7 linked regions of the Neurospora crassa OR74A genome follow. The protein of the gene in region 6 purifies or fractionates together with the protein of the main gene of each other region. This does not show direct contact. Links are inferred from orthologs where the notes say so. Each region holds a gene or a part of one and is shown on either strand. Other genes may lie near its edges. The genes, in order: NCU01301, NCU07795, NCU03380, NCU09380, NCU01524, NCU00404 and NCU07942.

What was found.
Region 1: the proteins of NCU00404 (region 6) and NCU01301 purify together in Saccharomyces cerevisiae (affinity purification with mass spectrometry; 3 studies listed by BioGRID, with this or other methods). This does not show direct contact. The link is inferred for Neurospora crassa OR74A from reciprocal best matches to the Saccharomyces cerevisiae genes RPF1 and LOC1.
Region 2: the proteins of NCU00404 (region 6) and NCU07795 purify together in Saccharomyces cerevisiae (affinity purification with mass spectrometry; 3 studies listed by BioGRID, with this or other methods). This does not show direct contact. The link is inferred for Neurospora crassa OR74A from reciprocal best matches to the Saccharomyces cerevisiae genes RPF1 and RRP15.
Region 3: the proteins of NCU00404 (region 6) and NCU03380 purify together in Saccharomyces cerevisiae (affinity purification with mass spectrometry; 3 studies listed by BioGRID). This does not show direct contact. The link is inferred for Neurospora crassa OR74A from reciprocal best matches to the Saccharomyces cerevisiae genes RPF1 and SPB4.
Region 4: the proteins of NCU00404 (region 6) and NCU09380 purify together in Saccharomyces cerevisiae (affinity purification with mass spectrometry; 4 studies listed by BioGRID, with this or other methods). This does not show direct contact. The link is inferred for Neurospora crassa OR74A from reciprocal best matches to the Saccharomyces cerevisiae genes RPF1 and PUF6.
Region 5: the proteins of NCU00404 (region 6) and NCU01524 purify together in Saccharomyces cerevisiae (affinity purification with mass spectrometry; 3 studies listed by BioGRID, with this or other methods). This does not show direct contact. The link is inferred for Neurospora crassa OR74A from reciprocal best matches to the Saccharomyces cerevisiae genes RPF1 and BRX1.
Region 7: the proteins of NCU00404 (region 6) and NCU07942 purify together in Saccharomyces cerevisiae (affinity purification with mass spectrometry; 3 studies listed by BioGRID, with this or other methods). This does not show direct contact. The link is inferred for Neurospora crassa OR74A from reciprocal best matches to the Saccharomyces cerevisiae genes RPF1 and RRP1.

What each region holds. Positions count from the first base shown.
Region 1 is NC_026505.1:3,571,561-3,575,135, reverse strand, and holds NCU01301 (60S ribosomal subunit assembly/export protein loc-1), read right to left. Parts: upstream 2,070-3,575; 5' UTR 1,941-2,069; coding exon 1,632-1,940; intron 1,523-1,631; coding exon 1,202-1,522; 3' UTR 855-1,201; downstream 1-854. Other genes in the region: NCU01302 (hydrolase), read left to right, coding at 1-1, 66-295, 371-499, 554-697; NCU01300 (imidazoleglycerol-phosphate dehydratase), read left to right, coding at 2,509-2,785, 2,869-3,281. UniProt on the Saccharomyces cerevisiae protein: Required for efficient assembly and nuclear export of the 60S ribosomal subunit. Involved in asymmetric localization of ASH1 mRNA.
Region 2 is NC_026505.1:268,271-272,000, reverse strand, and holds NCU07795 (DUF1665 domain-containing protein), read right to left. Parts: upstream 2,001-3,730; 5' UTR 1,832-2,000; coding exon 806-1,831; 3' UTR 628-805; downstream 1-627. Other genes in the region: NCU07794 (2Fe-2S iron-sulfur cluster binding domain-containing protein), read left to right, coding at 21-366. UniProt on the Saccharomyces cerevisiae protein: Constituent of pre-60S ribosomal particles. Required for large subunit rRNA maturation, in particular processing of the 27S pre-rRNA at the A3 and B1 sites to yield 5.8S and 25S rRNA.
Region 3 is NC_026502.1:904,097-908,080, reverse strand, and holds NCU03380 (ATP-dependent rRNA helicase spb-4), read right to left. Parts: upstream 2,801-3,984; 5' UTR 2,724-2,800; coding exon 2,493-2,723; intron 2,429-2,492; coding exon 695-2,428; 3' UTR 384-694; downstream 1-383. UniProt on the Saccharomyces cerevisiae protein: ATP-binding RNA helicase involved in the biogenesis of 60S ribosomal subunits. Binds 90S pre-ribosomal particles and dissociates from pre-60S ribosomal particles after processing of 27SB pre-rRNA.
Region 4 is NC_026501.1:3,514,359-3,519,046, reverse strand, and holds NCU09380 (pumilio domain-containing protein), read right to left. Parts: upstream 3,038-4,688; 5' UTR 2,863-3,037; coding exon 2,625-2,862; intron 2,550-2,624; coding exon 748-2,549; 3' UTR 522-747; downstream 1-521. Other genes in the region: NCU09381 (RWD domain-containing protein), read left to right, coding at 3,424-3,490, 3,562-4,178; NCU09382 (TPR domain-containing protein), read right to left, coding at 4,416-4,688. UniProt on the Saccharomyces cerevisiae protein: RNA-binding protein involved in post-transcriptional regulation. Component of the ASH1 mRNP which transports the ASH1 mRNA to the distal tip of the bud, where the ASH1 protein is translated and targeted to the daughter cell nucleus.
Region 5 is NC_026502.1:3,192,693-3,196,861, reverse strand, and holds NCU01524 (ribosome biogenesis protein BRX1), read left to right. Parts: upstream 1-1,618; 5' UTR 1,619-1,769; coding exon 1,770-1,915; intron 1,916-1,993; coding exon 1,994-2,211; intron 2,212-2,280; coding exon 2,281-2,894; 3' UTR 2,895-3,438; downstream 3,439-4,169. Other genes in the region: NCU01523 (GTP-binding protein ypt3), read left to right, coding at 1-223, 305-385, 458-597. UniProt on the Saccharomyces cerevisiae protein: Required for biogenesis of the 60S ribosomal subunit.
Region 6 is NC_026503.1:3,739,708-3,744,057, reverse strand, and holds NCU00404 (RNA processing factor 1), read left to right. Parts: upstream 1-1,673; 5' UTR 1,674-1,811; coding exon 1,812-2,532; intron 2,533-2,604; coding exon 2,605-2,780; intron 2,781-2,860; coding exon 2,861-3,122; intron 3,123-3,192; coding exon 3,193-3,317; 3' UTR 3,318-3,687; downstream 3,688-4,350. Other genes in the region: NCU00405 (glycyl-tRNA synthetase 1), read right to left, coding at 1-1,007. UniProt on the Saccharomyces cerevisiae protein: Essential protein. Required for biogenesis of the 60S ribosomal subunit.
Region 7 is NC_026504.1:1,277,081-1,280,911, forward strand, and holds NCU07942 (hypothetical protein), read right to left. Parts: upstream 2,309-3,831; 5' UTR 2,099-2,308; coding exon 2,053-2,098; intron 1,846-2,052; coding exon 938-1,845; 3' UTR 838-937; downstream 1-837. Other genes in the region: NCU07943 (DUF218 domain-containing protein), read left to right, coding at 1-537. UniProt on the Saccharomyces cerevisiae protein: Required for 27S rRNA processing to 25S and 5.8S.

The sequences.
Region 1 (3,575 bases), on a different chromosome or scaffold from region 6:
AGTAAGTTCAACCAACTAATTTCATACTGCTTAACAGTGATACTGACTCACATGTCATTTTGCAGCCAACATGAAGAAGCTGGTTGCGAACCACAAGGAGACCGTGCTCAAGTACACCAACCTTGACTATGACAGGATACAGAACATCACCTACCTGAACGAGTTTGATCGTGAAGTGCAGACCGTAACCTGGGGTTACCCCACCGAGGACGCCTACTACCGCGATGCTTCCTCTTGTGACGCTGTCTTAGGCATCAGGATTCCCTTTATGGCCCTCTCTGCCGCTGATGATCCGGTGAGCATATCTTCTCCTTTTCCCTCAAGAGTGCAGTTTGAAACCCCCATGAGTATAGAGCTGACAAATTACTAGATCGCTGTTGAGGAGGCCATTCCCTACCAAGAGATCAAGCAGAACCCCTACACGGTACTTTGCCTCACGTCTCTCGGCGGACATCTTTCATGGTTCGAACTTGGTGGCGGACGATGGCATACTCGTCCTGTAAGTTTCTTTTTGCCTCACTTTCCGGTAACTTTTTGCTGATTTGTTGTCTAGATCTGCAACTTCCTGAACAAGATGGCTTTCGATATTGACTTGGACGCCATCAAGCCGGATGCTTGTGACAAGTTCGATAGCCAGTTCAGAACTCACTTCGACCCTGTGCAGCGAAAGTTGCAGATTCTCGATGTGGATCAATAGATGGTGGTGGAATGAACACTTGAAAAGAACGAAGACTGTACATAGATTAGCTATAGAGATGGGTCCATCGATTGGGCCTAAAGGGTCTAGACGCGCTTCAAGGCACATTGGGGCTGCACATAGACTTAGATTCGCGCTTTCGACTTGGATACAGGTTCGAACGTACGTTCATTGATGGCTTATGCGAGCCACGAACTACACCATCCTGACGGTTTCACCTAATAACATCTACCGACTCATGAGAAAAAGAGGCTGGACCAAGGCTGGCGTGCCCAATTGGTATCTTTAATTTCCACACACAAAATCAGTCAGAACTGTTCCCCCAGCCAAGCCATCCTACCCGCCGCCAGACTTTGATTGATATAAACGCCCAGACGCCATACATGCGAAGAAAAAATGCTTGGTGTAGGTATTACACGACAAACTTCCACCCTTCCTGTCTTCATTCTCCCAGCCCATTCCCAGGAGGGACCTTCAAAGCTCCCAGCATCCTTGCTTGATTATTTATTCGGGAGCAGCGAAGGATACCGACTTCTTCTTTTTCGACTTAACGGCTTTCGTGCCCGCAGACGAGAACTCCTTGACATCTCTGGAGTCATCGTCGTCGTCGCCCTTGCTACCGCCCGATTGCTTGCTGCGCTTACGCTTCTTGCGCAGCGAGTCCTTAGTCTCTTCGAGTCTGGCCTTGCGCTCAGCCTCCTTCTTCTCGGCTTCAGCGCGTCTCGCCTCGCGGATCTCCTCCATTTGTCGCGCCTTGATCATCTTGGACTCGATCTGGCCCTCCTTTTCTGCTTGTACGATGGCTAGGATAGTGGCCATGCTCTCCTGTACAAAGGGGGAAAACATGTCAGTTACTTGATGCTTTCCGGTCTTGAAACCTAGCAAGAAAACAAAAAACCAATATGACCCCAGACGCTAACGAAAGACAGCTTACCTTGTCATCCACAAACACCTTGCCCTTCTTCTTTCCCTTTGGCTTGGTCACACCAACGGGGGTGATCATGTTGAGTTCCGGAATCGCAAGCTCCTTTTCGCTGTAGGTCTTCTTCTTCTTCTTCCTGGCGATAAGCTCCTGGATGTTCGGTCGGCCCTTGCTGGCAGTCACGAGAGTGTGAGCTTTGCCCTTCGGCTTTCCCTTGGACTTGAGCACTCCATCGTTCCTCGACCTCTCCGCATCTTTGCTGCCCTTGATGCCGGATTTGTTCGCAGCGTGCTTGTTCTTTATCGTTTTTGTCGGCGCCATTGTGAGTTGTGGTTGATTCGTTGATAAGGTCGTAAGAAATCAACGATAGATGAAATGGTGGTTCGGGATATGGATGGGTGGATGGAGTACGAATACTCTCGAATGTATCCTGTACGCTGTCGCTTCAGTTCGGTCGACTTCTGGGGAAAATTTTGGGACCGGAATTGGTCCCTGCCTTATCTTATCGCGGTTAATCCAAGGTACCTCTAGAGCTTGTGCATATAGCACTGTATCAACGCCTGCTGAGCGCGGTTACGGGGCAGTGGGGTCTGTCAGCTCGCCGTGGGGCTGCCTTGAAATCTCTAATTGGCAGCTGGGGATCGGCAGGCGAGCAGGAAACTCTAGTTTCCTTCTAGTGTAAGCGCGGGGTTGGCAGCACTAGTGGAGGTACCTATTCCATATCGATTGCCTATCGGTGCGTTCCCTCACTGGTGGCACTCCGAAATCGCCAAAATTTCCAAGATCACCTTTATTGTCGCCATCCTTACATCGCAATTGATCACACTGCCGTGGTGATATCCCAAGAGTCTACAGTCCCCAGAAGTCTCAGACGCCCTATTCAGACAAAATGAGCACCGAACAGCCCGCGCCCCGCTGGGCCGCCTTTGCACGCGACACCAACGAGACCAAGATCCAGATCGCACTCAACCTTGATGGCGGCGCATTCCCTCCCGAGACCGACGCCCGCTTGAACGTCAGTATCGCCGACGGCCATGCCACTCAGGCTAGCAAATCGCAAACTATCAGCGTCAATACCGGCATTGGTTTCCTTGACCACATGCTCCATGCGCTTGCCAAGCATGCCGGCTGGAGTCTTGCGCTTGCTTGCAAGGGCGACCTTCACAGTTAGTAGACACACTTGGCTTGGGCGCAGAAGTCCTCGTGGAACAACATCCAGAACTCTGAATTGACTTTGTCCCTCTCATAGTCGACGACCACCATACCGCCGAAGACGTCTGCATCGCTCTTGGTTACGCCTTTGCCAAGGCTCTCGGCACACCCACCGGCCTCGCGCGCTTCGGATCCGCATACTGCCCTCTCGACGAGGCCCTCAGCCGTGCCGTCGTCGATCTGTCGAACCGTCCCTTTGCCGTTGTCGACCTCGGTCTTAAGCGCGAGAAGATTGGCGATCTCAGCACCGAGATGATCCCCCACTGTATCCATAGCTTTGCCGGGGCTGCCCGCATTACCGTGCACGTCGACTGCCTCCGCGGCGACAACGACCACCACAGAGCTGAGAGCGCATTCAAGGCGCTTGCGGTTGCCACGAGGCAGGCTACTAGCCGGGTGGCGGGTCGCGAGGGTGAAGTTCCTAGCACCAAGGGAACGCTCAGCGTATAAGGAAGTGGGAAGGGAGTTAGTTATAGGTTTGGATATAGAAGTGCAATGATACCATGTGATGTCGTTTACCGTGGTACTTTGCGCGCATGTTCGGCTGCCATCATTTCGCTATAGCGACGGCGTAGAGTTGAAGTGAAGAATGGAAAACCAGATACATGTTGCGAATTGGCGAATGTATACCTAGGGAATTTACCCCTGATGCAGGTTGTTGACAAAGTTCCCCTTTCGGAAAGTCGGACGTACGCGGGCTCCACAGCGGACAACAGAATGGGGATCGAGGGGAAAGTGGAAGCG
Region 2 (3,730 bases), on a different chromosome or scaffold from region 6:
TTGTTCGCGGCGGCACACAGACTCTACGTAACATTCATCGACAAAGACAACCAAACCCACCGCCTCGCCGTCTCCGAAGGCGACAACCTGCTCGACATTGCCCAAGCGCACGACCTCGAAATGGAAGGCGCCTGCGGCGGTTCCTGCGCGTGCTCGACCTGCCACGTCATTGTGCAGGACCAGGACATGTACGACCGGATGCCGGAGCCCGACGACGACGAGAACGACATGTTGGACTTGGCGTTTGGACTCACCGAGACGAGCCGGCTGGGGTGCCAGGTGCACATGACCAAGGAGTTGGATGGGTTGGTGGTCAAGTTGCCGAGCATGACGAGGAATTTGCAGGCTAGTGATTTCAAGTCCTAGACCGTGCCGTCATGGAATGAATGACATGGGATTGGGGGGAGGTAATATCAGGCGATGAAGGGTTGAGCATGGAGGAAGAAGAAGAAGAAGGTAGAGGTGAAGGGGCAGGGGATTCACTGTGGTGTAAAGAAAAATGGAGACGGACGACGGAATATATATGGCACAAACACGACATCTATTCCATTTCTGTCGGATTGTTGAGGCGACGGCGTTCAGCGCAGAGTTTATCGGATATCTGTGATGGGCAATGTTCATGTTGATGGATATGACGGATTGGCAAGAGCATGTTGACTGTTCATACTTCTGCATGGGGCTTGTACGTTGTTCAACTGTTTGCCCCAGATCAAGGGCACGGGGTTGTATATAAGAAAATAGCCTAGACCTTGACAATATGCAAACACAATAAACAATCACCCCTCTACACCAGAATGCAATTCCCTTAAGCCTCCTCCAAGCCACCCTTCTTCAACCCCCCACCACCGCTCGCAATCAAGTCCAAGAACCCTTTCCTCGACATCTCCGTAACCTTCTCTTCCCTCCTCTTCACACCCACGATTCCCTCCTGCCTCGCCGCCCGTTCCGCCTCTTGCGCCTTGACCTGCGCCGCCCTAACCGCATTAAACAGCTTCACCACACCCCTCTGCGCCGTCTTCTTCAGCCTCCTCTCCGTCTCCAGAATCTGACCCGTCGTCTGCTCGCCCTCCTTTCCATCCGGAATCTCCTCGATCTCGCCCGTCTGGATGTTGAGCGTCCTAGTCTTGCTAGGGACCAACACATCACGCACCCGACCCTTCTCAAAGGCCAGACGCTTCTGCTCGCGCAAACGCTTGCGCGCCTTGGCTTCGAGCGCTGCGTCGACCAGGGACTTGGCGGCGGCTGCAGACTCGGCGGAGCGCGCGACAATGGGGTCGGCGCGTCGCGAGGCGGGCAGCTTGGAGGAAAGCATTTTGGTGATGGAGGTGGCGAAGGCGTCGGGATCGTTGCGCTTGGATTTGGTTTGTCTCCTGTTGCCGTTCTCATCACCCGAGCCGTCGAGGTCGAATTCATCGTCGAGGTCGGAGCCCAGGTCGGAACCGCCGTCTAGGGAGTCGTCCTCGTCGTCTTCGGAATCTGGGGCGTCTTTGGCGACGAATTTGGGTTTTGTTTGCGACTTCTTGGAGGACTTGTTTGATGGTTGTTCGGCTTCGGAATCATCAGAGTCGGATGCTTGCTCTTCGTCTGTGGATGCGCCATCGTCGGCAACGAGGTTGTCTAGGTCTTCGTCGTCCGAGTCGAGGAGGTGGGCGGGAACGGCGGAGGTGCCGGCCTCCTCGTCGCTTTGGTCTTCAACATCTTGCTGCTCGTTGTCGGATTCCTCCTCTGAACTGCTGTGGTAGGCGGCCAATGCTTGCGCCTTCTGCTTCTTGGACGGTCGGACGGGCTTGCCCTTGCTGCTGGGGCCTTCTTTGCGCTTGGTGATGCCCATGGTTGTGATTGTGTGTGTGTCTGGTTTGATTGGATGTAGGTTGTATGTGAATTAAGCAGATGGAATAGTGGTTGTGTTTGGGATCGATTTGCCAGCTGATCAAGCCGAGGGGGAGAAATACGGGCAGAATTGTTTATCGCGGATTGGAGGTGCTGCCGAGATGGTCGAGGTTCGGAGTGCAGGTCCCTCCATTCGAAACTTCCCAATTGCTGAGGTGCTCTCCACTCAGAAATTTTTGGCGGTCGCGGCCGGCAATATGCCCTGCGTCCCTGTCCCTGTCTTGCGTCAACCCCACACTTGGTGGAACCAAGGGCAGCCCAGCGGGGATGAACGGTGGACCCGCTCTGCCGTCATCAGAATCACCCCTAACCCTAGTAAGCCGTGACTTCAACGGCTCAATTCGACGACAACCTCTTCCCATGACAACTCGACATTGACATTATCGAACAGTATGAAATTGTCTACGTGTTTCACATTTCGCGCTTTGGATCGATACGATCTCAAGCATATGGTCTCAGGACACGTTACTCACAAACGGGCGGCAGCGACGAGACCTAACAAAGTTGATCTGCCCCTGGACCGAACCTGAGCACCTCGATGAACAGCGGTCGGCATAATGTACAGACCTTTGTCTGAGCATGTTGCACTTCGGCGACCAATTGAATGTTGAAACTTTTGAACATCATTTACAGTCGAACGATGCATGACGATATACCTGAGCTCGATTAGGTAAGTAATGCACGTCAATTCCGGGTTTTACAGGTTAATTCACGTTGGACATACGCAAGCGGAACCTAGATGAATCCGACTGCCACCGTTGAATTGGTTCGCATTACATCGATCGCTACGGCTCCATGCACGATACCTCTTATCTTGCTGTACATACCTTCCTCTACAGAACACAGCTTCTGCCATCCAAGAGGCACGCTTCTGCAGTTACAGTACATGTACCTCCCTACTTTCCCGAGCCAGGTTTTCCTGACGGAGTGACCAGGTTCGATGTATTAGAAATCCGTGGAGCATCCAAGCTGCTACTGCCTGCCATCTCGCGCCATTTACTAGTAGGTAGTGACACGTGGGTGAGCGATTGGAGGAAGAGTATTGGATCGGTGCCCTCAGGTCCTGAACTTTGAGCTTCGCACCTTCCTGTCGCTAGGTCGCTTCTCCCAACTTTGCGTGTAAGTGATTGGGTCACGGTCTCATAAAACACCATTGCCATGGAGCAGAAGCAGTTCGATGTGAGCTGTAGAAGCAAAGCACGTCATGAACTTGTTCATTTCCAGAGATGGAACAACGCCAAGTGAAAAGGTGGGATATCAGCACACGGTTACGGGTTCGTCATGATATCCGAGAAGCAAGTCCGATACGGAAGTATCGTGAAGATCAATCTTCATACCTGAGCTAAGTCAATGCATTCTATTCGCCTCTGGTTTCGGATTGCTGACTGGTGTTCAGACCCGCCAAAGAATCAGGCCCAAACTACTAGTACGTGATCTTTTATTTTCCCGTGACCAGGAAATATGTAAATATCATTGCTACTAACGCATCGTGCATACAGCGCCAAGAAATCACTAATTGTGAATAGGTAAGGAAGCTACCAGTGCGATGCCACACTCTGTTGCTGACAGATTCTGGAAGTTTGGACATGTTCCTTCAAGACGGACCGTGACTTGCCTTACCCGCCCGATTTCTAGGAATGGGTCCAAACTATTTACAACACCCGACGATTAGTTCATCGGGTGTTTATTTGCAGCCCAAGAAGTCTTGAGGGAAAAAAGCTGAAACCATTGCTCATCTTCCATCATACGCCACAATTTTGACTTGAGACCCCGAACGTCTCGGTCCCAACGACTGTAGCGGCAAGGTCATAAGTACACGCTGTATTGGCTCAAAATCCAT
Region 3 (3,984 bases), on a different chromosome or scaffold from region 6:
TCTTCGCCTGAATCACAGTCAAAGGCATACTGATGAATGAGAACATCGAATTTGGTTCCGGTACAATGCATGTTTTTCTCTGAACATGATGGTCCTTACAGCTCAGACAATAAAGATTCAATTAACTGCAAAACCTTGTCCCACTTCTAATCATGTTAACCCGGCGTGTGGTTGAGAGAACAAAACCGAACATGGACACTTCAACGTTATCCATCCTACTAGGGAAGGAAGGCCGTTGCAAGGCTGTGATATGCCTCCTTATGACTTGGAACCACGCCGTCCAGAGTCTATTAGGGATTATTTGGTTCAGGAAGGAGTTTGAAGATTGCCTAGAAGATAAAATCAAGACGCATGCATGCGAGCAAGAGTATACTGAAGGTGTGATGTAGTGGACTGAATACATTGGTTTGGTTTGTTCATACGAACACTTTGTTACCACAATGTCTCGAATTTCGAGAACATTTGTGATATCGATACTGTGTCTCCATTTGGGTGTTATGATAGATATTGTCTCAGGCAAAACAGCTGTACTTTTCGAGTACACCCATTATCATGATTACCATGAGGACTCATGGATACAGCATGCCAAGAACCAACAAAATTCCAATTCATCAAAAGGGTATATACGCCTCATACGCCTTTACGTCTTAGAAAATGAACCATTACCATCAACTCCCATTACCCAAGAAGCTACTCAATCATCAAACCCACCAAACTCTTCATCACTATCGTCCACCTTCTTCACCGGAGCCTTCGGCTTGGGTGGGTTCGCCGCAAGCGCAGCTGCCCTCTCCTCCGCCGCCTTGGCCTCGTTCCGTTTCCTCACCTCCTCAATCATCTGCTCCAGCTTGAGATGCTCCTCCTTCTCTTTCTCCGTCATCTCGCTGAATTTCTTGGCCTCCCTCTTTCTCCTCTTCTTCTCGCGCCTCTGCAGTTTCGTCTCCTCCTGTTCCGCCTTGCCGCTCCACGCCTCGTTCTTCTTGCGCTTGTCGCCCGTATTCTCTTCCTGTGCCCGCTTTGCCTTCTCCTCCTTCCACTTGGCCAGCTCTTCCTGACGCTTTTTCTCGCGCACCTTGTCCTTGAAAGGAATTTCTTCCGTGTTGATGCCCAGACCCAGAGAGCGGTCGATCTTGGCTTCGCGGACTTCGGGCATCTTGGGCAGCTCGAGAAGGCCGTAGCCCTTGGCTAGGTCGAGCCAGTCGAGGTCGGCGATGCGGAAGATGGAAGAAGCTTGGTGTTCGATGTAGGAGCGCGTCCAGGAAACGAAAGCGAGCTGGGCCATCTGGAAGATCTCGCGGTCGGCGAGGGCTTGCGATCGGAAGGCGGCGGAGACGCGCTCGACTTCATCAGGGGTGACGGAAATGGCGGGCTTCTCCAGGGGCGTGATGGGAGTTTGACGGACTTCAAGAAGCTGTACGTAGCCTTCCTCGCGACCCGGCTGGAGCAGAACGACGGCGAGACCCCGACGACCGGCACGGCCGGCACGACCGCAGCGGTGAATGAAAACCTTGGTGTCCGTGGGCGGGTCGTGCTGGATAACGAGGTCGACTTGGGGGATATCAAGACCGCGGGCGGCAAGATCGGTGGTGAGGAGGACCATGGGCGAGGTGGTGTTGACGAAACGCTCATAGTTCTTTTCGCGGACTTTAGGTTCGAGTTTGCCGTGCAGGGAGGTGACGGAAAAACCGGCGGGCAGGACGGCGCCGAGAATGCGGCTGAAGTACTTGACGGCCATGCATGAAGAGAAGAAGATGATGGATCGCTGGGGCCTGGGCTCGAGCTTTTCGAGGAGCTGGACAATTGCTGGCATTTTCTGGCTGGCTGGGGTAACAAGGTAGCTCATCTGTAGAGACATTGGTGTTTTCCTCTCTTGAATTATGCCACCGTCCTTCAGACTCTTCACTCTGACGGTGATCTTGTGTGGGTACAATAGACCAACTGTAATCAGCCTTTCAACGGCGTCACTGAGCGAAGCACTGAAAAGACCAGTACGGCGCTGCTTCGGAAGATATCCGAGAATGCGGTTGAGCTCGTTCGCGAAACCCATATCGAGAAGGCGATCGGCCTCATCCATAATGAGAACCTCAAATGTAGACGCGGGAGCCTTGACGTATGCGCTCGACAAGAGTTCGGCAAGACGGCCGGGAGTGCCAATTAGGAGATTCGGGGAAAGACGAAGGAATGTACCGAGATCCTCAGCAGCCTTGGTGGTGCCTCCGACAAGTAGTTGGGGGACAACGACAGGCTGGGTTGCTGTTGGGCGCTTCTCGTCGCTTTTGGCGTGGGAAATGGCTTCAGCGGAGGGTTCGTGAAACTTGACGAGGGAAACGAGGACATTGTAAATCTGGGTTGCAAGTTCGCGGGTGGGCGAGATGATAATGCCTTGGACATGGTTTCGCTTGGCTGGTTCTTCGCCGCGCAGGAGTTTCTGTTGCAGAATCGGTTAGCATATGATCATCCTGAGCTGGTAGACAGCAAGAGATCCGGCTTACCTCAACTACCGGAATCAAAAAGGCAAGTGTCTTTCCACTGCCTGTTACGGCCTCGACGACAACATCTTTATTTCCACGGAAGAGCTCAAGGCATGACTTTTGAACGGGAGTCGGCTGGGTAAAGCCCATGGAGGAGAGGTAGTCAAGAATCCATTGGGCGAGAGGAGGCGTGAGAGCGTCCCAAGACCTTGGAGGCTTCCGGACCTTAGTCTGTGGTTGGGTAGGCGCCATGTTAATTATGTGGTTGGCGGAGTATCGGGGCGTTGTAATCGATCCCTGAAGCTCTGCGTATTGCCCGTGGTGATAGCAGTGCGATGCTGTTGAAACAAAAATTGGCCTGGCGACCATCCAAACAATCCTTATCTTATCTGCCTATCGATAAAGCTAGCGTGAGCGTAACCTCGCAAGTTGCATACAGTACACAGCAGCCTTCACTTCTTTCGAATCCAATTTGATCGGTCCAAACCTAAAGATCTTCCCATTAGATTTCAGAAATTCGTTGGACAACTCACGACTTATACTAATTATATCCCAGATGTGCGCTCAAGCCGTTTTGTATCGTGAATATCAATAGACAGCTTTCGGATCTTCACGATCGTCTGTTGTTACTAGTGCAATTATCAGATATTGGAATGTGGGTCTCATCGAAGAACCCACGCAGCCACGGCAACCTGACAAAGGCTTGATCTTATTTGCTTACATGGTATAGGTAGTGTAATGCTACAACTGAAGGTGTCAATATTCAGCTCGACTAAGCTCCAGTGGCTCCCAAAATTGAAGTCTACGTCGTCTTCATCCAACCTTGTTTGACGACTGGCCGTCTGCTCAAGTCCATGATAGGCAAACATGCTAAGAACGCTTGAACCACTTTTACATGATGAGGAGATTGTGTACAAAGAAATCCCCATCAACCGAGATCGACCAAGGTGATGAACGTCAACGGTTGAGCAGAGTACAAAGTCTCTTTTCAACAAGGCACGGCAATATACTATGGTATAGGTATATCGAGCAACGCCTGGCATGAACTGAAAATGGCGGCATTCACGCCCAACCGTCTTCCTTCAGTTCAGTCTCAACTTCCTGTTGTCACATGCAAGGTCGCGTCGCTGTGTGCTGTTGCTGCTCTTGAAAGGCCACCACCCACCAATGTCATCACGCCTTGCCGCAATTGGGGTAACGGACCAGGGCAGTGAGCTGGGGAGCCCGGTGCAACCACCTGAAGCGCAACGCAGGACACGCGCCGGCTGATTCCCACTCGCACTCATGGCCGGGCATCCGCAACAGCCGAAATTTCTGTTCTTCACAAACACCGAACCACTGTCATTCGTCTATGATCGTCATCACTGGATCCTAAACCAAGTCCAGCCCAGGGTAACGTGCCACCTCAGCCACCGAGTACGGGTACAGTTTCTTTTTTTTCCTGCTTTGCACATCTTTTTTTCCTCTTGCTGTCAAGATACCCTTCTTTTTCCTGGACCTGAACCCTCCATAT
Region 4 (4,688 bases), on a different chromosome or scaffold from region 6:
AGATGTCTGGCCTCGTGCCTCATGTGATCTCGACGAAAAGAGAAGAAGGCTTTCAAGCCTGGCGGAACGCAAACCGAGGACACCCATGGCTGGCTGCCCGTTCGGAAACCCTCGTCTTACCTACTAGAACAGCAGATATGGCAAGGCCGTCAGGCCATGGTCGCTCAGTGAGCTGGCCGTTGCACAAGGATATACGCGGCCTTGCACGGGTGTAGCCTTGAGGCAGTTCCGTTCTTCTATTCGGTTTCCAAGCGGCACTTAGCCATCAAGTGACGGTGAACCCGATATATGTCGGTCTTGGTGCCGCAGTCAAAATGTTTGCACAGCACTTTGCCTCTACACGCCATGTTGATATGGGGAGGTTGTGTCCCTCGAAAATTGTGGTACAAGTGGTTCAATGTGAAGGTCGTATGATAATAAGGCCTTCCAAGGTCCGGAATGGCGAATATAAGAAAGTTGTCTCGCTCCTGTCTGGTTAATTATGATTTACCTCACTCCAAGTAGGCCACGGCCTGTTTCAAGCGTCATATCTGAACCATCAGGGAAGTCTGGAAGCAAGCTTTTCTCTATGCAATCATATATAACATGTCCAGACTTGTAAACAGGGCTATCAGTCAACCGCAAATTACGCGGGGCCCAACAAAATCGCATTGACAAAGTAAACAACATAAAAGGGGTATTTAGTCAACCTGTGGCTACCGTCCACTTTTGTCACTATAGCCATGCGACGCCTACAATTTCCTCAACCTAGGCATCGAGCTTCTCTAAAAGGAGCTTCGAGCCCTGGTTGCCCTTGGGGGCAGAAGCATTCTTGCCCTTCTTAGCCTTTGGCTTCTCCTCCATCTCTTCCTTCTTCGACGCCGGTGCTTCAGTTGCGGCCTTGATAAGGGCCTTCTTGTTGGACTTGAGGGTCTTGAGGAGCTCCTTCTTCGATGAGAAGTCGGAAGCCTCGAGCATAGCTAGCACCGTCCAAGAGCTAGGGCCGGTGGCCCATTGTACAATGTGGTCCTTGATGACGGGATAGAGAAGGTCGGCGAAGTTGAGCGGGGGGTCGACCTTCTGGATGCTGCCTGTGGCCTTGTCAAACCGGCCGCCAGCAATCAGTGTCTTGAACATGCGGCCACCGTGAATGGTTGTCGAGATGTGAGGGGGAAGAGCTTGGTAGGCATCCTTGGGCGCCTCAGCGTTGGGATCGCCACCGGCAGTAGAGGCAATAGCCTCCAACGCGGCCTTCTTATCTCCAGTCGCCGAAAGCAAAACATCAGTAACAAACTGGCAACCGAAAGAGGTGGCCACCAGGTCGGCGGGTGAGCTTGCGATGGCCGCAAGGAGCTGAGGCGACATGGCCGTCACCAACTCCTTACGCCTAACCTCGGCGTCCTTCTTGCTGGTCTTGGTGCGGATCTCGTGAATCTCCTTCAGAATCTCCAGGTCGGTGGCGTGGCTGGCAGGGAACAACGCTTTGGACATTCCCTCAAAGAGATATAATACCGTCGTGCGCGCGTTGAGGTCGTTAGCGAGAAAGATGACGTGCTCGGCATCCTTCTCTTCATTCTTGCCAAGAATCTCGGAGAAGATCGTCTTGGACGTGAGGACAGTGTCATCAAGGAGATCGTAGGCGGCGAGGATGATCGCGTGCGCGTGATTGTCACCACTCATGAGCTGGTAGGTGTCCTTGTAGGCCTTGAGCAGCTGCTTGCGGTCCTTGGCGGTTCCGTGCGCAAGGAGCAAGCACACGAGGCGGGCGCCAGACTTGGTGAATGCCATGTTTTTGAGCAAGTCGCCGGTCTCATCCTCCTTAATAGTCTCAAAGAACTCCTTGAACTCTTCGCTTTCGGGGTTAAGGTTGAGGAAGTACTGCAACAGAGCGTCGTGGAGCATGGTGAAACCAGTCATTTTCTTTTGAATGAGGCCATTGGCCATGTCAAAAAGGTACTTCATCGCCGTTGTCCTCTTGCTGGGCTCGTCAGCCAAAATCTTGGAGAGATCGCCAGTGACCTCGGTACCCTTGGGTTGCCTAAACAGAGCAAACTCGGGACCGTACCACTCGCGAAGGAGGTTGGCCTTTTGCTCCTTGGTCGCAACACCGCGGTAGACATCGTCCAGAATCCAGGAACCCTCAGCATGGTTGATGAGCTTGCGAACTTTGCCGTAAAACTCGGGGACGATGATGTCGCGGATCTCCTTGTCGTTCTGCACCAGAAGCTTGCCGATCAGGAACTTGGCATACCTGCTCTCGGCGAGCTGCGCATAGGTTCCTTGAAGTTCCTTCGCAATCTGCCTACGCTGAACCGGGGTGGCGTACTTGACGGCGGTCTGGACGGCACGGACAGCATCGTGCTTTAGGACAAAGTCCTTGATGCGGCCAGTTATGATGGTGAACAACTCCTCAACGAGCTGTTGGCGCTCCTCCTTAGGCACATGCGACTTGCGACGGAGCTTCTCCCACAGCTTCTTGGTACGGTGCACCTCATCGGCCAGTGGCTTCGCGTTCTTGCGTTCTTGGGCGAGTTGTTTTTGCTTGGCGTGCGCCTCCCTGGAGCTTGTGCCTGCGTTGTGTTAGTCAAATAACAGAGCGAGGTTCGGTCATCATGGGGCAGATATGGTAAAGAGAGACAACGTACCAGACTTGGTCTCGTTGGAGCCATTGCCGGACTCATTGGGCGTGGATGTTGTGGTCTCTCCTGTGTGGAACTCGGCGTCTGAGCTTTCATCGGAGGATTCATTGTCTTCGGCTTCGGCCTTGATGTGTTTCTTGCCAGAAGTGGTCTTTACTGCTTTTGTACGGCCATCCTCGTTATGCTTGCCGAACGCCTTTCTCTTTCCGCCGGCAGCGGCTGCTGAAGACGACTTGGTCGCCATTGATGCTATGCGATGTCTGTGTTGCTCCGGGATATGAAGGATTGATCTAGGTATGGGGGGCTCGTGTTGACGTCGTACTGGGTGGGCGCTGGTTCAAAGGTGATGGTCGAGCAGGAATATGTGAAAGTGCAGGTATTCAGACGGGAATCCGAAACTTTGGAGTGCCCTGTATCTGAAGCCTCTGAATTGGAAATTCTGTAGCACGTTTTCCGCTGAAAATTTCTGGATCCGCATCCTGGCATCTGCCGGGCGGTGAGAAGCTTTCCGGGGTTCTGTGGTGGGGCGACTTGATCGACACTGTCTAGAACTGTCCATTGATATAACAAGGAACCCAGGCAGGACCCCCACCATAGATTGAGCCGCGCTCGCGTTTTGGAGTTTGGCCTGCACCTGACGCTACAGTCACTGCAATGCCGTCTGGTTGCCCCTCCCGTCCTCTTCTCTAGGTTAGTAAACGCCTGAAAGTCAACATTGCCAGCACCCACTTTTGGAAGGAGTCTTTCACGTTTTATGTCGTCCAGCACACTGCAAACTTGAAAGGCGCCCTACCGATTGGACATCATGGGCCGCGAAGAACAAATTGAAGAGAGGGAAGTCCTCGACTCCATCTTCCCAGATGAGATCCAAGGTTCGATTGTTCGCCCACATCGGTTGCCGTTCAGGCATGGGCCTGTCCTAACCCAAGCTCGACTCGTCTAGATATCTCCGATACCGAATACCGGATTACTATCACGCTGGACATTCCTGATGATGATGCCGAAGAAACACCAAGCATGGTACTTACCGTACGGTACCCCGAAGACTATCCCGACAAGCCACCTTTCCTTGAGCTTGCGTCCGCCCCAAATGCGCCGCCCCATCAGTACATAAACATTGCCGACGATCGGTTCCAGCTGCTCGAAGGTATCCAAGAGACAATTGAAGAGAATTTGGGGATGGCCATGATCTTTACTGTTGTGTCGGCGTTGAAGGATGCTGCGGAGCAACTGGCAGTAGAGCGGAGGGACGCTGCCATCAAGGCGCAAGAGGAGGCCGCCCTTGCCGCGGAGCGCGAAGAGAACAAGAAGTTCCAGGGCACTCCCGTCAATCGCGAAACCTTTTTGAAGTGGAGGGAGAGTTTCTTGCAGGAACTGGAAGATCAGAGAATCAAGGAGGAAGAGGAAAAGGCGGCCGAGATGAAGAAGGCAAGGATAAAGGAGCCTGTCAAGCTCACGGGCAAACAACTCTGGGAGAGGGGCTTGGCTGGGAAGGGTGATGAGGACCTGGAAGGCGATGATGACGTCCCCGTGGAAGAGGTCCAGAAACTCACGGTTTAGGACCGTTAGACAAATCGTAAGCCCTCTATCACGTTCGCCAAAATTATCTAATTCTTTGCTGTAGGCTTTAATCCGCTCTAAGTATACCTAACCCATGTGAAAACCAATCCTGAACATTACTTTTTACCCCTCTTAACCGGACTCCAGGGTATGCCATAACAAGTTTGCCTGAAAAAGACGCCTCAGCTTAAGGTGGTATGGTTAGAAGACAAACGAGACGAAGCCAGTTGGGGCCATTTAACTCATCTCCTCATCTTCATCTTCCTCAACGTCTGTATCTTCCCAAACCTCATCTTCCTCAGCGCCAACAACACCAAGTTCACCCCTAATGGAGTCCAGCAATTCTTGTGCGTGTGCTCCAAGCCTTTCATCTTCGTACTCGATGGCCGCGTATGTCCGGAGGCATTGTGCAAGGTACTTGCGCGACAAGCGCCAGATATCTTGCCATGTCTCACCTTCGGGAGCTTGCAGTTCTCCGCTCTTGATTTTCTCGCCCAGAAGATACCTGCC
Region 5 (4,169 bases), on a different chromosome or scaffold from region 6:
CAGGAACGTTATCGCGCCATCACCTCTGCCTACTACCGCGGTGCTGTCGGCGCCCTCCTCGTCTACGATATCAGCAAGGGCGTGACGTTTGAGAACGTGAACCGATGGCTGAAGGAACTGCGCGACCATGCCGACCAGAACATTGTCATCATGCTCGTGGGTAACAAGAGCGATTTGCGGCATCTGAGAGCCGTACCCACGGAGGACGCCAAGAAGTTTGCCGGTACGTTGCGCGTCACAGCCATGATGACATGGTCGCTTGGGAAAGCCGTATCGCCAGGATGACTGACAGAGAGAACTGCAGAGGAAAACCACCTATCCTTTATCGAGACTTCGGCTCTCGACGCCACAAACGTCGAGCTTGCGTTCCAAAACATTTTGACTGGTAACGTTTGCCCAAAGCCTACAGCTGCTGCTCTGGCGCGAGCCTACCGCTAACATGCGATCATTTATCTAGAAATCTACAAGATCGTGTCGACCAAGAACTTCGACAACGGCCCCAGCGGGTCCAACGAGGGCCACCAAAACCTGTCTGGCCAGAGCATCTCGCTCAGTCAGACCGCGAACGACCCCCAGGCGAAGTCTGGCTGCTGTTAGGAGGTGCTTGATTCTCCGGGCCGGGAACCGAGTGGCCCTGAAGGGTTGAGGTGCAGGGTGCAGCAGAGTACAACAGGGTGCCGAACCAACAACGGCGTCACATATGTCTGACATGAAGCAATGGAGGCTTATGATGAGCAATGAAGAGCAGCATCGGGGGAAAAGTACGGACGGATCCTGCCCAGTCTTATTACATCACGGTCGCCGATGGGATGGTCTGTTTTTCTTTTTCTCTCTATTTTTTTGGGCTTTTGGGGAGGGGGGAAAGGATCATGATGCTCGTCTTCCAGCCTTTCCTTTTTGTTGTTATTACTACTACTACCCCTTTCTTCCCTTTTCCCCCCGTGCTGGTCGTTGGAATTTTCCTCAATGTGGTTAACGAAGCCATCACTTGCGCATGGATTACGAAAGATATTATTTAGTTGAAATGAACTATGGGCGATAAACAGCCCTTAACTCAACCTGGTACATATTGCTCCACGTTGTCAAGGTCTCCATCTATTGCATCCACAATGTGGGAGAAGAGGAGTACCTCGAGAGTGAGTACCTATGTAGCGATAATCGTGCAGGATCTCGTTATGACATTCAAGTTGATTATGTGCGACAGCGGGAAACAGTCAATACAAATTAAGACATCTGGGCTTGCCTGATGGATTATGGCGACTGTCCCTCATTACTCCCATCGCGTCACCCGAGGCGGTTGAAGTGGGTTTGAGTGCGGACAAGAGGCCAGTCCCGTCCCATCCCCCACTGTAGGGCAGACAAGAAGAACGCGTGGAACTTGGACAGTGTGTGTAGGCAATGGAATCCCCAGAACTTGGGGGTCCGGATTCCAGGTTGGGTCCATCAGTGGGACAAATGCGGGTTGCCCAGACCGCCGACCGCCTTTCAGCTGTTCCAAGCAGGGGGGCCGGAACAGGGACGCTAGTAAGATAAGAGAAGCTTATCGGAGTGGGGCTGCGATTGGCCGGCGAACTTTTTTTGAGATGGAACAGCCTGCACTCCATCACTGCGCTTCGCCCGCGACGTTCGTGGATTGGAGCATTGAATTCACCTTTGCAATCCGCATTCCGTTTTTCTGCCATCACTTCCACCACAACCACCACCAACTTCAGTCACCCTTGTTTTTCGCCCGATTTTGATACCCAAAGAACGACAAGAACAAAAAGAAAATGGCCGCCGTTTACAAGTCGCTCTCGAAGAGCGCCAAGAAGGTCGAGGACACGGAGAACGACAACAACACCACCACCACCAATGGCGGCTTTCGGAAGAACAAGCAGAGAGTTCTGATTCTCTCGTCCAGAGGCGTTACCTACAGGTACATATAGACCCTGCATACCTGCAAGATGGAAGAAGAAAGGGTCAATTGCTAACCGCCTTTGCGCCCCGAGTACAGACACAGACATCTCCTCAACGATCTCGCAGCGATGCTCCCCCACGGCCGCAAAGACGTCAAGTTCGATTCCAAGTCCAAGCTGTACCAACTGAACGAGCTTGCCGAGCTCTACAACTGCAACAACGTCATGTTCTTCGAGGCGCGCAAGGGCAAGGATCTGTACATGTGGTTTAGCAAGGTTCCTAACGGCCCTACGGTCAAGTTCCACGCCCAAAACTGTGAGCACTATCCATATCCGAGATACGCATTGTGAAAGAGGAAAAATCGGGTTCTAACAAAAAGCACAGTGCACACCATGGAAGAGCTTCACTTCACGGGTAACTGCCTCAAGGGCTCGAGGCCACTCCTCTCCTTCGACCTCGCCTTCGAGCAAGAGCCGCACTACCGCGTCATCAAGGAGGTGTTTCTGCAAATGTTTGGCGTCCCCCAGGGCGCGCGCAAGTCAAAACCGTTTATCGACCACGTCATGAGCTTCAGCATTGCCGACGGCAAGATCTGGGTACGCAACTACGAGATCCGAGAAGTGGAGAAGGCCAAGGGCGAGAAGGACAGCGAAGGAAACGACATTGTCCCCGAGAGCGACAAGTCATCATCGAAAAAGAGAAAGGGCGCGCCCAACGCGGAGCTCAAGGACACAGACGTCAGTCTGGTTGAGATCGGACCTCGGTTCGTCCTAACGCCCATCATCATACAGGAGGGCGCGTTCGGCGGCCCCATTATTTACGAGAACAAGCGCTTTATCTCCCCCAACCAGGTGCGCTCGGAGCTGCGCAAGGCCAAGGCGACCAGGCACAACACCAGGGTGGAGCAGGTCAAGGAGAGGCTCGGCAAGCTCGAGACCCTCACGGCCCAGGCGAAGAAGGAGAAGGATGTCTTGGATACCCGGGAGCTCTTTGCTTAGAGAAAGGAGGAGGAGGGGAAAGAGAGAGAGAGAGCTTTTCACAACACGATTTCATCACGTCTGTTCGCTTGCGACACATCAAAGCAACGCACGCCTTAGGTTTAGGGGTAATCAAGGAGTTTTTTGTACTTTTGCTGGCTGGCTGGTTTGGTCTGGTTCGGGAAAAAGAAAGGAAATCGATTTGCATTGTACAACATTACAGTATTCGTGGGGATGTGTGAGACGGACGAGCTGTCCTCTTTTGACAGTTGGGAAAGAGGATCATGATCGAGTGGTAGATGAGCACTCAGCGTATAAGGTGCTGGCTCGAAAACGGACACATCAGATCAAGATTGAGTGATGAACGCCGTCCTGGCTCCGGTCTTGGTCGTGTTGAAAGGAGATGGTCAAAGAAGGGTAGGAGAGCAAGTACTTTGCTCGGCACCTCACTAGCGGTTGACTGTCTATAACCACACTCCTGAGGGAGATGTTGTTCGCATAGGACCTAGACTCTACCTTAAATGCAGTTGCGCTGTGAGATATTGTCTCACATTTTTGCTCCATGATTTGGGTTGTTTCCATATATATAAGAGACACGAGGTGTCTCTTTCGTTGAGTTGTTGGGATGATATCACCACCTTCAGTACACTCCTCAAGGAGAAGAAGAAGAAAAAGTACCATGTTTTGTCCCAAGGTAGCTTTGGGCGACATCGTCCCAAATTTCAGATTTTCTGACGGACTAGCCATCTTCTCAGGGGCTTTGGGTCGTCTAAGTCATGTAGTGTGCCTGGGAGTTGGCGCGAGTTTGGTGCTTCTTGAAAACAAGAGATAAGGACTGGAGCCGATACCTAGGACGTCGCTCCTTAAAGCGAAAGACAAATGGCTTGAGTCTAATGTTGAACACGTATGGCTAACGCTTTTGATCAAAATTTAGAAGCAAAAAAAACGACTCGGAGTACTTTGGTCATGACTCAGGTTCACTCATCGATATCGGAGGAGAGAGTTGAGGATAGGTTGTAGAGGGTTCACTTCACTCATTGTGAAAGTTCGCTACAGGGGACCTGTTCCCTCCAGAACACCAGTGGGGGAAAGAGCGGGAGGCTCCGGCCTATGGTACTTACCTCTAGGCCCCCTTGCGTGCCTGCCTAGCGTATCTTGGGCACCTAACTAGGTGGCATGTAGTGCCTGGCCCCGAGATTGCCAGTGCCAATTCCCGCCCCATTTCAGCGCTGCTTCTAGTTCTCAATTCCAGTCCCTTCTAAACTTCAACACCACAATCACACCTCCAACCAAACA
Region 6 (4,350 bases):
TCGCGGACGCGCAGAAGACCGCCGCGAGGGGCGATCTCGTTACGGTAGGACTTGCCAATGGAAGCAGAAGCGAAGGGCATGTTGCCGGCGTTGTACTCGAGGAGCTTGGCGAAGTTGAGGAACTGGCCCTGAGCGGTCTCGGGGCGCATGTAGCCGGCAAGGTTGCCGCTGGGGCCAATGGCAGTCTGGAACATAAGGTTGAAGGCCACGGGAGGCTCAGGCTGGACACCGGTGGCGGGGTTCTTCAAGTCGTACTTCTTGATGAGCTCGCCGAGCTGCTCGCCGTTGTAGTTGTCGATCTGGGCGAGGATCTCCTCGTACTCCTTGACGACGGCGTCCTCGAGCTTGACAGCCTCGGTACCCTTGGCCTTCTTCTTCTTGCGCTTAGGGTCCTCCTCCTTGTCCTCTACCTTCTGGCCGCGAGCCTCCTTGTCGCCCTTGAGGCGGGCCTCGAGAACGTCCTCGACGAAGTGGTCGGCGCGCAGAATGTCGCCGTTCTTGGGGTCCTTGCACATCCAGTCGGCGAACTTGTCGACGTGGCCGGAGGTCTTGAGAACATCGTGGGGGGTCAGGGCGGTGCAGTCAACCTCGAGCATGTCCTCCTCGAGGACAAAGTGCTTGCGCCAGATGTCGATGATGTTGGCCTGGAGGGCACAACCGGGCGGGCCATAGTCGTAGAGGCCAGCAACACCGCCGTAGATATCGAAGGAGGGCGCAAAGAACATGCGGCGGCGCAGCATGGACTCGAGAGCGCCCTTGTCGAGGGGCTGGCCCTTGAGGGTGGTGGCCGTCGAGGTCATCTTGGTGTTTTGTTTTTTGACGTAGACTTGGAAGCGATGGTGCGAGGTAGAGAGGGAGAAGGATCGGAGCGAAGTCGAAGAGATCCGCGGGATGGGCGCCGGGGTCCAAGAAGTTCGACTGGCGACGGCTCGGGTGGATAAGGTCGATTTGAATGCTTGACCAGCAACAGGAGAACGGAGGGAGGCGAGACGGGCAAGAGGTCGCATGAATTGGTCTTGTTACAGTGCTCAAGGGAACCAAGTGAGTCACGGTCGCCCACTGAGGTTTCGTCGAGGCCTTTTCAATTGAAACACGTACTTCAACCGAATCGCGGGATGATTTTTTTCTTTGGGGGGGTAGAGGGGCGCCATGGAGGGGCCGGCACCAACGACCCAGACAACCTAAGCCAAGGGACAGCGGTCCAGATTCCCGCTCTCGAGCCGCCGTCAGTGGCGGCGCGGTACGCGACAGAAGGCTCGACTCGCTGGAATCCACCAGCCATATCAGGAAGTGGAACTGCACATGCTACTGTACACTACCTCTACCTACCTAAGTAACTCCCTTACAGAAAGCGCATTCCGCTGGCTAGCGTTATTGTGACTTTTCATCGGCTAGAGGTATTGATATTTGATTATCAAGAGTCCGTGATGCCGCCGTTCTTCATCCCAAAAATTCTGCTTCCGTCCCAACTTACAGCAAGGGACGGGATGGAGTCATCCTGTGCAGGTGACAGTCAGGTAGTAGTGTACACTGAGGGGTAGCGGTACGTACCTGTCCCCGGCTGAGGCCGTGCGTTAGCTGTTGGGGTACCCTTGTAGATGCACGTCTTGGCGCCCTTGATGGCTCTGGGCCCAGAAAAAAAGTTGAAAGTTTACCGGGCCCGTTCAATTCATCCGTCAGGTAGAGGTAGCAACAACTGCCCAGCATCACGTCGAAGTTTGAACTGTGACCTGGAGAATTGATCCTACCCTACAATTTTGACACCGCGACAACCACTAATCCCACCGCCGTGTTACCACATCGTAGCCGATATGCCGTCCGGTAACAAGGGCAAAAACCGCTCCGGCGGATCGCTGTCGCTCAAGACCTCCAACAAGATTGTCAGAAAGCAATTATACGTCAAGCAAAAGAAGGAGCAGGGAAAGGAACGCCATGAGGAGCGTCACCGCCGGAGGAAGGAGGAGGCCAAGGATCCCAAACTCAGAGAAGAGCGCCTCGCAAACAACCAACCCTTGACCATTGAGAGGAAACGCGTGTGGGATGACGTTGACGACGACAGCCTGGGCGTCGCTGTGGATGTTGCCGAGCTCAAGAGGAGGCGCTTGGAGAAGGAGGAGGCCGAGGCCGCCAGGCTAGCCGATGGAGTCACGGAGGAGGATGAGGAGAAGGACGACGATGCCGATTCTATGTTGGACTCGGACGAGGAGGGTGACGACGACGACGAAGATGCCGAGGAGCGCATCGAGAGACTCAGACAGGAGCGTGCGCAGAGGAAACCCAGCATCGCTCCCTCGACCACGTCGACAAATCTAGACATGACTCCCGACTCGCTCACACGACAATTTCCCAATCTCTTCAACGAGGAACCCCCAGTCGACCCCAAGATTCTGGTCACCACCCATTTGAACGGCACCATTCACAAGGAGGCGGAGGACATTGCTGCCATCTTTCCCAACAGCACGTACATCAGACGCAGTGCGCACGCGTATGGACACAAGTATAGTGTTCGCGAGATCGCAAAGTTTGCCAAGAGTGAGTAGCGCACCCAGGTTGGAGTTTTGTTGCCCAAGAGAAAATTGCTAACACAGGCCTGAATTGTTACAGACCGTGGATACACGATTCTCATGATTGTCGGCGAAGATCTCAAGAAGCCTAGCTCCCTGACCGTCATCCATCTCAACGGCGAAGATGTTGCCCCTGGTCCTTCGTTGACATACACCATCCGGAACTACCTGCCTGGAAAGGCTCTCCTTGGCCACGGTAACCCTACAAACCACTACGTAAGCCGTCCATCCTAATCCCCAAGTCCATTAATTACAGGACATTGAGACTAAGCATTGCAACCAAAAAAAAAATACAGCCCGAGCTTCTCCTCAATGGATTCAAGACCCCTCTCGGTATCCTCGCCGCTAAATCCATGCACACCATGTTCCCTCCCAGGCCCGAGCTTTCGGGTCGCCAGGTCGTGACATTGCACAACCAGCGTGATTACATCTTCTTTCGCCGCCACCGCTACGTCTTCCGCGAGGCCCGCACGACGGAGAAGAACGTGGTTACTGCGGAGGGCAAGGAGATGGAGGGTATGCAGGGTATCCGTGCTGGTTTGCAGGAGATTGGACCCAGTAAGTCTTGCTACCGCGGAAAACAAAAGTTTTGGCGAATGAACCGAAAGTGGCTGACTTGTTTTGATAGGATTCACTCTCAAGCTTCGTAGAGTGGATAAGGGTATCGGTCGGGCTGGCAGCGAAGGAGAGGATGCTTTGAAGTGGGAGTGGAAGGCCAAGATGGAGAAGGTTCGCACGCGCTTCAACCTCTAAGGGGGCTGATCATGATAGTAGTATTGGTGATACCCTTCTTTCAGTATGCCATCGTCTCTGTTGGCACTGGAGAGTATTTGTCTTGTTCAAAGTGTGTATGTGGCGTTATCGGTTCACAAAAGGGTTTGGGAGGAAGGCATGATTCATCAACATCAGGTCACTATGACTGTACTTCAAGACTACCTATTTTCTGTGCATGTACCGCCGGTTTCCTCTCCCTTTCTACGATTTATGACCAGCCTTCTTGGCTTCCTCCTTGAGCATAGCCACTGGATATCTAACCCAGCAACGAAATCTCAGCCATTCTGCTCAGTATCATCGGCAAGAGAAGCTGGAGATGCCGCCGAGTTGCGGTGATAGTGGGCGATCCAGATGGTGTAGAGGGACGAGCCGAGGATGCCGAGAAGTGAGAAGAGGATGCCCTAGAGGGTTATGATTTCGACTTGCTTTTGGGTTTGATCTGTTGCTGAACCAGGTACGGTTTTGGTTGAAAGAGGTAAAAGATAGGATATCATAATGACTGACTATCCACACCCCGCACACGACAAGCTGGGACCAAAGCCAACATGGCTCTCTCGGGTAAGACGGAGTGGTAGAGAACGTGATTCGTCACGCCACGATTGGCGTGAGCAAGATCCAAGCGATTTGGTAGAAGGTTACAGAATTAAAAGCTATTAGCCAATGAGGAAGGATCACATCGAGGGACATGGCCACGCTGAGGGGAGTGTCTCGGGGAGAGATGGAGCGAGGACAAAGAGCGAGAGGGGAGGTCGCGAGAGGAGGAAGACGGTCAGGTAGGTGGTGAGGAAGTGGAAGGTTGCGAAGGAGAGCTGGGTTAATTGGAAGGATGGGGTGGAGAAATGGACTGAATTGTGAAGACCTGGGTTGGTTCGGTTGTTCGTAAGGAACTGTTGGGAGAGGAGAGCAGGGAAAGATGAACAATCAGTATTGAGACTACGATATTGACCGCCATTCAAATGAAGGCGGGTGCGGGAGAGTTTTCCCTAGATAGTCAATGTGTTTGGTTTTCCTA
Region 7 (3,831 bases), on a different chromosome or scaffold from region 6:
GAGATCTGTGGGCTGCCCGAAGCCCAAGTCCTCCATGCTATCTGGAACTCGTTCTACGCAAGCCAGGTCGACGACCCCAGCGCTGCACCTCGGATCCTTATCGAAGATCGCTCCACGACCTGCGCTACCAACGCGTCGGAAGCGCGCAAGCTGCTCGAAGCAAGCGCGCCGCGCACCATTGTGGTCATTCAAGATCCGACCATGGTTCGACGGACGGTGGCATGCTTCGACCGTGTCTACATGGACATGGCGCAGCCCCCGACAATCCTCGGCTGTCCGATCTTTGTTCCTCGCGTAAAGCGCAGCGGTGGCGGCACTAGCGGGCAGCTGGCATACGAATCACCGCCGGTCAACGAAGCATTGATGTGGAAGATGGACCGTTTCTTGCAGCTGGTCATGGGCGAGATTCCGCGATTGAGAGATGACGAATACGGCTATGGTCCCAAGGGCAATGGCTCCATCGTCCATGTGGATATTCCCGATGAGGTTGAGCAGGCTTATACGCGGCTTGCCGGCAAGATTGCGCATCGTAGATGAGTTTCCGGAAGTGATTCGCCGGGTGTCCGGGACGAGCTCTGTGGAGCCACACATTAGGCTTATTTTGTGAAGATAGACGAAAGAATTAGATACGAGTATAGAGAGTACCTAAAACGCATCTCGTTGACACCAATCAGATACCTTGCATGAAATTTGGTGGAATGGTGTTTCAGTAACAATTAAACCAAGGTTGATGTATATCAGTTACTTTTCAAACTACTACTTATAAACTAGGAGTCTCCTGGGTAACATTGTGATATATTGAAAGTCATGAGGAGGTTCACGATTCAAGACATTGGTCAACAATGCAATGTATTTCAAGGGAACGAAATCAAACAAAGCAACTCTATTACGCCAGCAGCCATGATATCTCAGCAAAAACCATTTTTACAAAACGAAATCAGTTATCAAACCCGCCCCATCCCTCATCTTCCTTCTCCACAGGCTTCTTGTCATTCCCCGGTAGCCTGTCATCCGACAATGAGTCCTTGGACCTCACTCTTATCGCGGGGCTGACCGTGCGCTGCTCCAGCTCCTCGATCTTCTCGATGATCCGCTGCACAATCTTGAGCGCCTCCTCGTCGCTCTCAAAGTCCAGCATGCCAACCTTCTCGGCCTCGTCCACCCAGATATCCAGCACGTGGATCTTGAGTCCCGAGGGTATCTTCTTGGCGAGGAGGTGAAGCGGGTCCTTGTTTTCCTTCTTCTTGGGTTTCTCTTTCCTGAGAGATTCGTGTTGGGGCTTGGCATCTTCGTCGTCCTCGTCGGCTTCGGGTTCTTCTTCTTCTTCGGAATCGCTATCCTCCTTGACGTCCTCGTCCAGCGCAAACGGCCACTCGGCAAGTATGTCGAGAACCTGATCGACTCTTTTGGCGTCCCACGCGCTCTTCTCCTTTCCGCTTCCCTTCTTCCCACCCTTTTTGTTGGATTTGGTAGCAGTAGCAGCACTGACATCCGCTTTCCCATCCTGCGCGCCCTTCATCCACCTAAAGGAAGCACCCACCACCCGTCTGACCAGCAACAAGAACTTTTCCATGCGCAGCACGTCGATCGACGTCCACTCGCGCGACATGGTCGCCCAGAAACCCCTGAGCCAGGGGACGACGGACTCCCGAGGGAGGATGTAGATGAGATCGGCGAGCTCCTGGGCAAGGGTCTGCTGGGGGATGGCGCGGTCGCACATCCACATGGCGTAGAAGAGACCCTTCCACAGCTTGAGAATGTCGATGGGCGAGAGCGTGGTGGCAATGTGCTTGGCAGAGAGGAAGGTGTGCAGGGAAGCGAGGGCTGACTTGCGGATTTTGCTGTCTATCGAAAAGGGAGAAAATGTCAGTGATGGAGGGCTTATCGAATGGGGAATTGGGTATACATTTTGAGTTTAGATAGAACGTGATTGGATGTAGAAGTGGTAGTATTGTCAAGAGATACAAGGTAGGCAAGTATCCCAAGTGGTGATGTAGCTTGTACTTCGATCACATGGCAGTGTATGTACTGGAAAGTGGGATGCAAACGTACCGCTCGAGGCGAGGTTCTTAATGAACGGCATATTTTGCGACGCCATCTTGACTGGTTTTTTTTTGGTGGTGTTTCCACTCAACTCGATTGTTTCGACTGTTTCGTTGTGTTGTAGTAGGGCCAAAACGCAAATTGGGTATACGCTGTGTAAAAAGACGAAGTACTGGGATCGGTTTCCTAGAGGCGACGAGATGCTGCTGCAGGCTGGGCTGGAGATGATGGTGGATGGAGTTCAAGCCGATTGAAACGAAATCTTGTCCGCCCGGCAGAAAAAACTGGTGGACCAAGCTTCCGAGAGTTGACAATTGGAGATAAGCAGCTGATAAGACTTTGCGGCAGGCATTTGGCTTGTCCAGCTATCGCCAAGATGCGGGGAGGTATGCGCTCGCTATGTGATTGGTGCATGCTAGTGACTGTGGATTCGGCTATGATCGGCAGGAACCCGACAGCAGTCGAATTCCATCCCGGCCGCACCCGTTCCCCAGCAACCTCTGCGGTGGTCACAGGTGACAGCTGAGTCGATGCCAGCAGCGTGAGGGCATGGCATTCAGTCACCAGCGACATCGTCGGCAGGGCGGAAGGTGCATCACGAAATTTCGATGGTCCCCGTCAATGTAGAATCCGGCTCCATCCATTCTCCTCCGTCCCGCTTCCCCGCCTTGCCCGCCCGTCCGCATTCCGCTATCGATTCGGGATCTCCTTCTTCCCGCTTGCTGTTTCCCCTGATCCCCATACTCTCCCCTAACTTGGTATCCATGCCACTCTGTCCGGACTTCTTCTGGAATCCTGCTTCTTTTGTCCACCAGGCATCGGGCCTAACGACATCCTCACCGCATCAACTGTCATGTGGCCTAGAGACTGTGATTTCATTGAAGGATTTACTTTGAAAAACTGGCGGTCTTGCTAGTCACTTTGATACGCTCAAACTTTCATTTTTTTTCTCAGCCCTGCAAATGGTCATGTGGACTTTGTGTTATCTTTTTCTAGTGTAGTGTCTAGTGTAGTGTAGATAACGTATACCAGCGGGCCGTCAAGCCTATCAGGTTCACATGAAGTCCGACAGCCATCCAGACCCAAAAGCACAGTAGTGTATCTTCTATGGGGAGGTTAGCACCAAAGGGGAAGCTCAGGTCGCGCCTGGCCAGACAGCAAGTGAAAATCCTCGGACTTTCTTTGCTTCAGTTAGGGGAAGCAGAAGGGGAACTGAGGACCAACCAGTGTCGTACTCCGACCACAGAGGGAGGAAGAAGCTGTCAGGGCTGTGAACCGTTGACCAATGCAACAAAAACAGGATCCAGTGACAGTCAGGGGTAGATCTACACGCCCTAACCCCGCGGCGACCATTGGGCCTTTACCCCGGATTGCGGTCTGTCTGGGGCGGGGAAGAGAGGAAAGCTTGAACAGAGACATGTGACAAAAAGGAAGGAAGCGCGGGGACATCTACAACATGTACCATCTTATTGGAGCGCTTACGCAGGTGAAAATGCGCCTTGAACATGCCACCTCATCTGAGTCGTATCTAAACGATAAAATAAACCCTCCCAAGCATGTAATCGCTGGATGTGTTCGACCTATCTAACGATTTGGCGTCCCTTGTAGTTTTGACTATCGGTGTTGATACGGACACACTAAATGGTTATCTTGACGATACCTACCTTGAGGTATAGTACTTTATCTGATACGAGATTGTCGTCTTGTGATTGGAATCGGAACTTTTAGGGGAAACGTCCAAAACCCGGGCTTTGGACGATATCAGCTTGGTTAGTGGAGCGGTTATCA